Linked DNA regions of Canis lupus familiaris. The protein of the gene in region 1 purifies or fractionates together with the protein of each later gene. This does not show direct contact. Links are inferred from orthologs where the notes say so. Each region holds a gene or a part of one and is shown on either strand. Other genes may lie near its edges.

Region 1 (5,592 bases):
TGTAGCGAACGCTTGAGATACTGTCTCCCTGTGCATATGTGTGAGTTTAACTCCAGAGAATCTCTCTAGAAGTGGAAGTTACAGGGTCGCCAGCTCTCGGCACTCATGTTTTATCAGTTCCTGCTTTCCAGAGAGGCCAAAGCAATGGTCACACCCAAGCAGCATAGAGATCTGTTTGGTGTTTTCCTGAGGGTCCTGGAGAGCAGTGGGATTGGAGTTCCCAGCAGGCAGATTCGCCCAAGTGTTGTGCCCAATTTGCATCACTTGTGTTCCCAATAGGTTTGCTTGCAAAGGGCACTGAAGACTAAGTGGCTAACTCCTCCTCCGTCATCTGGGTTCTCTGCGCTCTGGGAAGAGTCCCCACGGTGGAATCCTTCCTGAGCAACCAGACTACTCTGATGGGGCCACCAGCGGTACTACTCTTGCCGCGAGTGCGGATGTTTGCTTGCAGAGGGGGCCGAGAGGATCTGGGTTATGGAGAATCTGTGGCTGTCCACACAAATGCCAAAAACTGGCCCTAGATTTAGGGTAAGAGGTTAGAGGACTCCACTTGGCCCACTTCCTTGCTGAGAATGAATAGTAGTTAACTGTCAACACTTGCTGAGCTTGTGGCTCATCTTACTTTCTGCCTACACCGGCCCTACGAGGTGGGCATCCCCAGCAGCATGTGACTTCTGAGTGCATGGATCTCGTCTGCATTCTTGCCAGCTTTATTGTCTCCACAGTCTGGAACCTACATACTCATCGATTGCATCCAAATTTGTAACTGGGATGCGAGCCGCCAGGTTTGAAAACACGATTTCGTCATCCTGTGCGCAGGATACAGTCACAAAGGCTGCTGACCAAGGAAATGCTTTAACAAAAGGGTGGCTGCCTTTTAGGGTGAGAAAAAGCATCGATTTTGCACCCTTTACCCCCAAGTAAGGTTTTGGCTGGAGCCAGGGACACCGGGTGTGGGCGGTGGGGGGGCCTGAAACACAAGGCAGGGGCCCGCGGGGTCCAGGTGAGAGGAGGGGGTGCGGCGGGGGCCCAGGGCAGGCTCTGCGGACCGGGGTCTGGGAGGAAGGGCCGGGGCCGGGCCGGGCCGGGGGCGCAGGAAGCGGCCGAGAGGGTGATGGAGGCCCGGGGGAGGCAGGTGGCAGATGGACGGGCGGCTCCGGGAGAGGGTGCGGGTCGGAGCGCCCGGGGTGCCGCGAGAGCCCACAGGGGCAGGGCCACAGGGGCAGGGCCCAAGGCCTCCGCACGCGCCCGCTTCCCCCGCGGCGCACCGTCCCGCGCGCCCACGGCGAGGCCCCACGCCCGGAGGCCCGGGGCTTTGTGTCGGCCGCTCCCCGCGACTTTCCCGCCCAAGAGGCCTGCGCTCTCCTCCCAGTGTCGTGGCGCGGCCGCAGCTGGGCGCGCCGCGTCGGCGTCGGCGCATGCGCGCGCTGGAACCCGCCCTTGGGCCGGCGCACGTGGCCCCGCGAGCCGGCGTGCGTCCGCGCGCCCGCGCCGAGCGCGACTGCCGCCCCGCCGCGACTCTCCCCTCCGCGCCCGGCCGACGGGTGTGGCCGGCCGAGCCCGCGGCGTGCGTGCGCGCGCACGCCGGGCCACGTGGGAGCGACGCGGCGCCGTTGCCCCGCCCCCCCCGGCGCGCGCCGGCGTCGGCTGCGTCTCCGGGCATTTGAATTGCGCTTCCGCCATCTTCCAGCCCTCAGTCAGACGGGCCGGAGACGCTTCTGGAAGGTAAGGCAGCGGGGCCGGGCCGGGGGCCGCGGGGGCCGCGGGGGCCAGGGGCCGGGGGGCCGGGGGGCCGGGGGGTCGGGGGCCGGGCGGGGGCCGGGCGAGGGCCGGGCGAGGGCCGGGGCCGGGGCCGGGCGGCAGTCGTGCGGGCCGGGGCGGCGGCGGCGGCGGCGGCGGGCTCTCGCCGTCCCCTGCCGTAGAGACCGAAGACCGTGGCCGGGACGCCAGTCGCGGTGGGCCCGGGCGGGCGGCGGCCCCGGGGCGGCGCGGGCCGGGGGGCGCGCGATCGGGGCCCCGGGCGGCCCCGGCCTCCGCCCCGCGCGCCGGCCTCCGCCCCGGCCTCCCGGCCTCCCTCCCCCACGGGCGCGCCGCCAGACCCGCCGCCGGAGCAGCGCCGCTCGCCCGCCCGCCCGCCGCCGGGAGCGCGCCGCGGCCCCCGCCCCGGCCCGGGCGTGCGCGCGTGGGGCCCGGCCGCCGGAGCCCCTTTGTGGGCCCGGGCACGTGGGGCGGGCCGGCCATGTGGGCCCGGGCCCCGCCGCCAGCCGTCCCACGTCTGTCTCCCCGCAGCACCAGCGCTATGGCTGCCCAGGGAGAGCCCCAAGTCCAGTTCAAGGTGGGTGGTGCGCGGGGGCGGCCGGGGGGAGCGGGGCGGCGCGGCCCGGGGGGCGCCGGGGCCTCCCCTCCCCCCCCCCGCCCCCCGCGACCGCGTCCTGTCTCGTAGCTGGTGCTGGTTGGCGACGGCGGCACCGGCAAGACCACGTTCGTGAAGCGTCACCTGACGGGTGAATTCGAGAAGAAGTATGTAGGTACGTGGGGGGAGCCGCGGGGGCCCCCGGGAGCGGGGCGCGAGCGGACCTGACGGCCGTGCTTGTGTTGCAGCCACTCTGGGCGTGGAGGTCCACCCCCTCGTGTTCCACACCAACAGGGGCCCCATCAAGTTCAACGTGTGGGACACCGCCGGCCAGGAGAAGTTCGGCGGGCTCCGGGACGGCTACTACATCCAAGGTGGGTGAGGGCGGGCCGGCGGCTGCCGCGTGCTGTGTCATGATGGGCGCAGCGCCGAGCCTGGAGCCTGGAGCCGGGACCCGGAGCGGGCTCCTCACCTAAGACAATGAGCATCCCACGAGGTGCTGCTGTGGCTGCCGGAGTCGTTGGGGCTGGTTGGGGGTTTTTTTGCTTGTTTTTTTCCCTCAAGGGCACTGTAGAGTGGCAGATAAAGACAGGAAGAAAATGTCATCTGGGATCTCTTGTGATGAAAGATGATTGGGAGTCCTTCCATATTTTGCATCCTTTGCTATGTTACAGATACACAGCTTTTTTTTTCTCTTCTTAAAAAGTGTTTAATTAGGAAACTCCTAGACTGTACATACTTCGGTTTGTTGTCTCAATTATATTAGAATTGTGTTCCTCATAGGTCAGTATGTAGGCCTGCGTGTTTTAAGGCAGAATAACATACTCTTTTGTGTAGTTTAGGATCATTTAAAGAGCAGGTTCTGAGATCCTCAGAATAGAGGAGACCAGTTGTCTTAGGGTGCTGCTCTATCGGTAGTCTACTTGAGATTCTGGGATGGGACGGAATTAATGAAGTATTACGGGAGAGATTTGATAAGCTAGGCTGGTAGTTCACACTCACACAGAAAATGAAACTTTAAATCTTGTTACGTATTACAGTGGTTGGAGATCCTTAAACTTGGAAGAGAGAGACATTGGGGTGTAGTGAGTGCAGAAGCAGAGGTAGCCAGATTGGGCCTGTCCCCTAGCCCGTGCTCCTTAGCATTCCTCATTTGTGCAAGAAGTCATACATGTGTAACAGTTTTCCTACATCTGTTTCAGCCCAGTGTGCCATTATAATGTTTGACGTAACGTCAAGGGTTACTTACAAGAATGTGCCTAACTGGCATAGAGATCTGGTACGAGTGTGTGAGAACATCCCCATTGTGCTCTGTGGCAATAAAGTGGATATTAAGGACAGAAAAGTTAAGGCAAAATCTATCGTCTTCCACCGAAAGAAGAACCTTCAGGTATGTTTTTTAAAACTTAATTGTTTTTCTCTAAGATGAAACTACGGTAATAGATCCACTAAAGGAAATTGTGTCTGTGGTATGGATGGAAAAACTATTTTTAGTTTTAAACATTTCAATGATCCTCAAGAAGTAGATTTTTAAAAACTTATTTTATTTTATGGAACAGTACTATGACATTTCTGCCAAAAGTAACTACAATTTTGAGAAGCCGTTCCTGTGGCTTGCTAGAAAACTAATTGGAGACCCTAACCTGGAGTTTGTCGCCATGCCTGCTCTTGCCCCCCCAGAGGTGGTCATGGATCCAGCTCTGGCAGCACAGTACGAGCACGATCTAGAGGTAGGTGGCAGATGGGTCCGTCAGTGGGATCTCTTGGGTGTCCCGTGTCCTGACGGCTCTAACCCATGGTGTCCTGACGTTGTGTCTCTGTCCAGGTTGCTCAGACGACCGCGCTCCCGGATGAGGATGATGACCTGTGAGAAGTGCAGCTGGAGGCCAGCGTCAGAAGTCTAGTTTTATAGGCAACTGTCCTGTGATGTCAGTGGTGCAGCGTGTTTGCCACTTTTATTATATAGCTGAGCAGAACATGTGCTTAATCTTTGGGATGCTGAAGGAGATGAATGGGCTTCGGAGTGAATGTGGCAGTTTAAACAGTACCTTCATTTTTTTGGACCTGCATACTTAGCTGTTTTGGAACGCAGTTGTTTCCTTCCTGAGTTTCAGATAATGAGACTGCTACAGTCCCATCACAATATCCAGTGGTGAAATCTCGTTTGTCACTGTCATTCCCATTCCTTTTCGTTTAGAATCAGAATAAAGTTGTATTTCAAATATCTAAGCCAATGAACTCCTCCCTTGTTTGGTAAGCATCTTAAAACCACTAACAGGAAAAGTTGTGCCACGTTACTGTTGAACTGGCCTTTGCTATTCTCCCTTAATTTGAATCTTTGCAGGTTAAGTTCTTGTCTATTTGTACATTTGGATCCTCTCACACAGGTGACAGGGCAGACATCCGCAGTATTCCGTTTGGTAGATTGTTAGAGGGGTGAGCATCCGTGGTGAAGCTAAAACGATGCCCGTCGCATCTGCCTTCAGACTGGGTGGTGTCACCTGGGGAAGAGCTTTGGACTTCTGTGACCTGTTGGAACAAAACTACTAGACGTTTCGGATAGGCATTTTAAGAATTACAGTTAACATTATTTTGTGACCAGTAACCGTGCTCTCATGTAGGGATGTTCAGAATCTGGTAGAACGATAACAGATGACGGTGGGGACTTGACAGGAGTCTCATTTGTTAAAAATGAGTGTAAGTTATGCATTGATTTGATTTTGTTTTAATGTTAACGTCTAATGTGAAGCTGGTACTCTAGAAAGATGTTCCACGATTACCCGCTGCTTTCAAGTATTTCTGAGTGTTAAAGATGCTGAAGAGTAAGGATTTAAGTTGGGCATCTCACAGCTTTGATGCTTTTTTTTTTTTCTGAAGGATTTTTGTGGCCAATTCAAAGGCACGAACACTAAATAGAAAAGTAGATCTTAGAATGGCTTCTTGAAACGTGAAACATTGCAAAGGTTTCGTTGGATCAAACCATTTATCTTTGTATGATTTACACATTTAAGAACGAGTGGAGTCTGTCTTCAGTTTTGACCCCATGGATGCTATACTGTAGCAGTTAGGAGTCTTAAACTATTATGCTCACTTGAGCACTGCTATGGTTGTTTACCAAAGTTCCTTAGATGTCCATTTCTCCTTAAATGGTTACTTTCTTACCTAAAAAGAAGGTAGGAAGGGGTTGCTTAAATATATGGAAAAATGAAATACAGAGGGTAGAATTTAATAAATTTCAA
Region 2 (5,913 bases), on another chromosome or scaffold:
CAAACTCTGCTGATCAAACTCAAAATCTCAATCTTCCTAAGAAAAAAGAAAGGGTACCAGTTATCTGCTAGAATACTGTAATAGCAGAGGAACTTCCAAACTTTCAAGTAATACGCTTCTCAATTCCAGAAGTGAGTGTGTCTGAAGAAGATGGTTTGTGGCACCATCTCCTTCTCTAATTAACCATGTTAAATAGGGTTTCTATTCAGAAAGGTTTGCTGGGTTTCCCTCATATTCCAAGGGACTAGGAAAAACAGAAAGCACAAGAATTCAGAAAAATCATTCCAGGATACCAAGCTGATGTTATCTTGATCCTTTTGACATCAACCCACTATCAGAGATGGATCTCTCACATATATACACTTCCTTGGCGGAGACATAAGAATAGGCTCCCATTCTGGAAAACATGGTAACTAATTATTTCTCGGAAAATGTCAGTTGGCAGACTAAATGACCAGAATGTACTCTGGGCTCCAGCAACCTCACATTTTCTAGGATACTTCTTAAAATCTCAGCTTCCTAAGAATCTGGTCGGAGCATGTCAACCTCTCTTGTCGGTCCACTTAACAAAAGTTAACAAATACAGATTTGTGTCCCTTCCCTCAAAATTAGAAATTCTTCCACTTAAGCTCCAGGATTAAGAGTCATCACCTGGCAACCAAGGAAGGTGGTACACCTGTTTGGCAAAGGGAGCAGACTGGTTAAAGATTAACTGGGACCACTCTCCCATGTGAGGCAATAATAAATGACTCACAAAGACAGCGCGGTTATTTGAGGGGACAGAGGGACTAGAAACAGTTAGATTTGGTTGTCACCTAACACTGGGCTCCACGGAGCCAAAAAAAATCAAAAGATGACCAGAATACAGATAGTAACAGACACCAACCCTCAGATTTCTCATTTACTTCAAGTTTTAAGGAAGTGTGTTTCCTAGGGCAGGAAAGCAAGGTTCTTCCACTAGGATAAAACTGGAATGTAAAGCAACTCCAAAGGAGCAGCCAATAGTTTGCTCATTCATTTACAAGAATGGTTCCTACTTTGGCCTGCAGGGTGTTGTAATATAACAGGAAGAGCAGCATCCTACTAGTTTTACCAGGACAGACAGTTGGCTAACTGCTGGCCGGGAAGCGAGGTGCCTGTATTTTCAGGTAAAGGCAAGCAATGGGTAGTAGAAAAGAAACTAGTGACCATGTTAAGGAGCCATTTGAGATGCAGGCAGTATATAAGACAGGAGGTACTCTGGACCCAATGGCAAAAAATAACTTGGTAAAGGCCGTAAAAAGAGGCAGGGAGAGAAGCAAGGTATTATATCTGAGGAATGGCTCATCACCCTCCATCTAAAAAGAGGTTATTGAAAGGGGTGAATTTTTATGGTTTTAAAATAAACATAAGGAGTGGCCTACTTAAATACACAAATTGCCTCCAAAGGGTCCAAAGCACGGTAATCAACTCTAGAGACCTGGTCTAACTCTGTGCATCACATCCTAACCCCATGAGTCCTTGCCTGAGTACTAGAGGCCACCAATATCCGGTCACTATATTAGTCCTTCCTTGCTGCACAGCATGCCTGATGGCGCATTACCAGTCAGTTAAGGTGGTGCCTTTCAGTCTATTCCCGTCAGTGGCCTAAATCAAATGCAAAATTCTGCATTTCTGTTTTAATTTTAGATTTCAAGACCCCCAACAGATAAAGGGAGCTAGAGGCTTGAATTTCAAAAAGATCCTAAGGAGTTTATACAGTAATAGGCTATGCAGATGAGACCAAGGCACAGGCTGGAGAAGGGACCAGGGCCCAAGTGGACCTGTTACTGGACAGTTAGAATGTGCACCAAGGTTCACCTTTTGTAGGGAGGTGCCAGACATACATCGGGCACCGGGAGATCCGGGTGTCATTCAGAGAAGGCATCAGACCCTCAACTTCATTCAAGGAGTAACTTGAATGAAATGAGGAGCCTTTGCTTTGTCACTCTTCCTCCTTCACATCCAAGGGAGGCAGAGACAATGGAAATAAAAAAAAAAAAATTCTACCTAGGAGACTAATAACTGCATCAATCTATGCGTGGCTCTCAAAAAGCTTTCTTCTAACCAGAGGTTTGCCCCTATTGTAGAGTCTGACATTTTATGGAACAATGACGATCATAATCAGGCCTTCAAAACGGTCCTTAACCTGTTGTATCCCAAATCTCAACGTGTTTCCGACAGAAGGAAATGCACATTCAGCAGCCCTGTCGTGTAATGGAAGGGGAAAGAAAAGCCCCAAGGCCAGCTCGGGGGGCGCGAGCCCAAGGTTCTGAGCGCGGCCGGGCAGCGCACGGGGAATTTCCCGCCTGGGAAGGGGTCTGCGAGCGCGGCCGAGCCGGGGGAGGTCCTGGGGAAGCAGGACAGGCCGGGCAGACGCCCCGCGTAGAGACCGAGAGGATTTTTCCCTCCTGTTTTAGGATCAAATCGTTCTTTGTGAACTGGCTGAGCGCGGTCCGGTCGGAGGCCGCGCAGCGGGGAACCGACCGGCCGTCTGAAACCAACAGTCCCCCATTTTTCCTCCACCGTTTAGAGCGTGGAGCAGGGGTGCGAGGGACAAAGACTCAAAGACAAAGGACGATCAGCTCCTCCGAACGGAAATGCACACGGAGGGGAGGCGGGGGAGGGGGCATTTACTCAGCGCAGGTCGTCCCGATAATGAACGGGGAGCGCGGCCAGGAAGGCGAGCCAGGCGCACGTGCACTGAAGGCGGCTTCTGCGGAGGCGTGGAGAGGCCTGGGGAGGCGGGGCGGCGGCGGGAACCAGCGGGGCGCGCGCTCGGCCCCGACCCTCCCGCCGGGGCAGCAGCTCGCGGGCGCGGACCGCAGAGCGGCCGAACCCCCCCCCCCCCCCCCCCCGCGAGGCTCCACCCCTGCCCGGGCGGGACCCCGACAGGGCTGTCTGGCCACGCGACCCCACGGGGGCCTCCAGGCCCCGCCCCCGCCGCTAGGCTCCACCCCCGCGGCCCCAGGCCCCGCCCCCCGCGAGGCTCCACCCCCGCCCCCAGCCCCGGGTGGAACCCCGACAGGCCTCCCCGGCCACGCGACCCCCCGGCGGCTCAGGCCCCGCCCCCTGCAGACTCCACCCCCGGCGGCCCCAGCCCCCGCCCCCTGCAGACTCCACCCCCGGCGGCCCAGGCCCCGCCCCCCGCCCCGGGCGGAACCCCGACAGGCCTCCCCGGCCACGCGACCCCCCGGCGGCTCAGGCCCCGCCCCCTGCAGACTCCACCCCCGGCGGCCCCCGGCCCCGCCCCCTGCAGACTCCACCCCCGGCGGCCCAGGCCCCGCCCCCCGCCCCGGGCGGAACCCCGACAGGCCTCCCGGGCCGCGCGACCCCCCCGGCCCCGCCCCCGCCGCGAGGCTCCCCCCCCGCCCCGGGGGACCTCGGCCTCCCGCTGGGCCTCGCCGCCCCGGGCTCCGCGGGCTCCCCCCGCCCCCCCCGGCTCCGGCGCCGCGGGCAGCGGGCAGTCCGGCCCGGGGTGGGGGGGCGCCCCGTCCTCGCGCCGGCCCCGCCTCACTCACCCTCCGTCACCTCGAGCACCTTGATCTGCTCCTCGGCGGCCGCCCGCACCTCCTGCACGGGGGACAGGATCCCGGTGAGCGTGTCCACCAACGCCTCCTTCAGCCCTTGCGCCACGGGACCCGGCAGCCCGGAGGCCGCGCCAGCCGCCGCCGCCGCCGCCATCTTCCTTGCCTTCAGCCCGCCAGCCCCGCGGCAGGGACCCGCCGCCGCGCGACGGCGCCCGCGCGCGGCCAATCCGCGAAGCCGCGCCTGCGCACCGGGGCCGGGCGGGAGCGCGGAGGGGGCGGGGCCGGGCCTGGGCCTCCGGGGACAGCGCCCCCTGTGGTGGGCGCGGGGCGGCCTCCCTCGGAGCGGGGCCGCGACCGAGGACGCCCGATTCGTGGACCTCGCAGGTAGGAGCCACCTTGTTGGCAGGGAGGAGCTGTAGGGGCCCCTCGGGGCAGGGCGGGCCTCCCTCCCACCCCGCACACCAAACACGGAGAAAAAAATAACTAAAAATTGGCTCCAGTGAGCCTCATCTCAGCTTCAAGAAGAATTCAAAGGGAGATCCCGGGGTGGGGGGCGCTCCGCGGTGGAGCACCTGCCTGCGGCCCAGGGCGTGACCCCGGGGTCACGGGATGGAGCCCCCCCATCGGGCTTCCTGCATGGAGCCTGCTTCTCCCTCGGCCTGGGTCCCAGCCTCCCTCTCTCTGTGCCTCTCATGAATAAATAAATAGAATCTTAAAAAAAAAAAAAAAAAAGAATTGGAAGGTAGGGGGAGAGGATCCCAGTGCACTGGGCAGTAGGGAGGGTCACCTGCGCTGTTTCCGGCCTGCTGGAGCCCAGCTTCAAAATTGGGGGGAGAGGGCAGGGCATCGGGAAGGGGGTTTCCTCCAGGGGAAGGCCTGAGAGTGGACCCCATTCGCTGACAATGTATGCATTTCTCTTCCCTCCTCCCCACCTGGAGAAATTGAGGCTGGACGTCCAAGCGGTGAAGGAGCAAGAGGACATCCTAGGGCTGGTGGTAGGAAAAGGCTGATGGAAGAGATTCCCAAGTGCTGGAGCAAGTGGAGGGGACTATGCAGAGGGGTTACTAATGCAAGGCTGTTAAATACGACTTTTAGAAGTAGAGGGATGCTTGTTGCTGGGATGGGATGTCTGCAGCAGGAGGAACAGGTGATTTTTAGCAAGCTGTTCAGGTTGACTGCCTTAAAATGGTTTCTAGGAACCCTGACTCTCATTCCCAAGAGGCAGAGGACACCAGATGGTAAGCCCTAGCCCAGTTCTAAGACCGTGACTGCTACGTGGACAGTACTCTGAGGCTGTCACCCATTGGACTGTTCTTCCTAAAGATGGGTTCCTGGATTTGAGGGAGCTCTGAGCACATTGGTCACTTCCCATGTTAGAGGACATGTGGGTCTCGTTACCACAATTTCATAGGGAAAAAAGATTGCTTTGCGGACCTTGAAATTCCACAGTAGGGGTAGTAGGACTTCTTTCCCTTCTTTCCTTGTTCCATTAGAACACCTTTTTTTTTTTTTTTTCCCCCTGGGTTAATTCACTTTTACTTCTGGAAGAAAACAGGAAGGTCCAGAGGGTGGTGGATCTTCAAACGTTGTGGCAGTGGACGGAGGACCCAAGAACCCTGTGAAATCCGGGCTGGCGAAGGATCCTGTGTCTGCAGCATGCAAGTAGGATCCCCAGCCCCCCACCCCCAGCCTTCCTTGACCAAAGGGGTCCAGCGCTCCTGCTTCGGATCTGAAGATTTTCCAGGCAGATGAGGTTTACCTCTTGGTTAGGCAAATGACAAGCAGTCTCACCTTGCGGATCAAGGAATGGGCCACAAGATAAACGGAGACAAACCAGACAGAGGGGACCAGAGAGCCAGTGGACAATACAGGAGATAACTTTATTGAAACGCAAATGGCATCGAACAGATGAATCTTGCCGGGAGGAGACATGCCTGATGGAACAGAGGGCCCAGATAAGAGGGGCCTCTGGCAGTGATGGAGGAAGGCCTCTTCAGCTGGCCTGCCATGGACTTCATTGTCAACCAATTTTTGCTTAAAACGAATTACTGAGGGGACAACTCAACTCTCTTCATGATTGTTACCGCAACTATATACAATGGTTTGCTTTCCAGATTCAAATTTGCTTTCTCTACATTAGATATAAAAGGGGGTAGATTGAAAGAGGGGGAGGGTCCAATGAGGGAAAAAAAAAAAAACACAGACACACACATATCCTGGTTTGGGGCTTTATGTCCAATAAATTAAAAAAGAAAAAGAAACCTGTTGTAAAAATTCCTACCCACTTTCCACCTGAGGATTGCCACGCATTTGAGAAACACAGACTCCATCGCATAAACAGTGCTGCTGAAAACTGGGTGGGGGT

Evidence for each region.
Region 2: the proteins of RAN (region 1) and IPO9 purify together in Homo sapiens (affinity purification with mass spectrometry; 3 studies listed by BioGRID and IntAct, with this or other methods). This does not show direct contact. The link is inferred for Canis lupus familiaris from reciprocal best matches to the Homo sapiens genes RAN and IPO9.

What each region holds. Positions count from the first base shown.
Region 1 is NC_049247.1:1,620,127-1,625,718, reverse strand, and holds RAN (GTP-binding nuclear protein Ran), read left to right. Parts: upstream 1-2,287; 5' UTR 2,288-2,299; coding exon 2,300-2,335; intron 2,336-2,443; coding exon 2,444-2,528; intron 2,529-2,601; coding exon 2,602-2,727; intron 2,728-3,555; coding exon 3,556-3,743; intron 3,744-3,912; coding exon 3,913-4,083; intron 4,084-4,178; coding exon 4,179-4,223; 3' UTR 4,224-4,237; downstream 4,238-5,592. UniProt on the Homo sapiens protein: GTPase involved in nucleocytoplasmic transport, participating both to the import and the export from the nucleus of proteins and RNAs. Switches between a cytoplasmic GDP- and a nuclear GTP-bound state by nucleotide exchange and GTP hydrolysis.
Region 2 is NC_049228.1:1,256,094-1,262,006, forward strand, and holds the start of IPO9 (importin-9), read right to left. Parts: upstream 3,753-5,913; 5' UTR 3,703-3,752; coding exon 3,540-3,702; intron 1-3,539. UniProt on the Homo sapiens protein: Nuclear transport receptor that mediates nuclear import of proteins, such as histones, proteasome and actin. Serves as receptor for nuclear localization signals (NLS) in cargo substrates.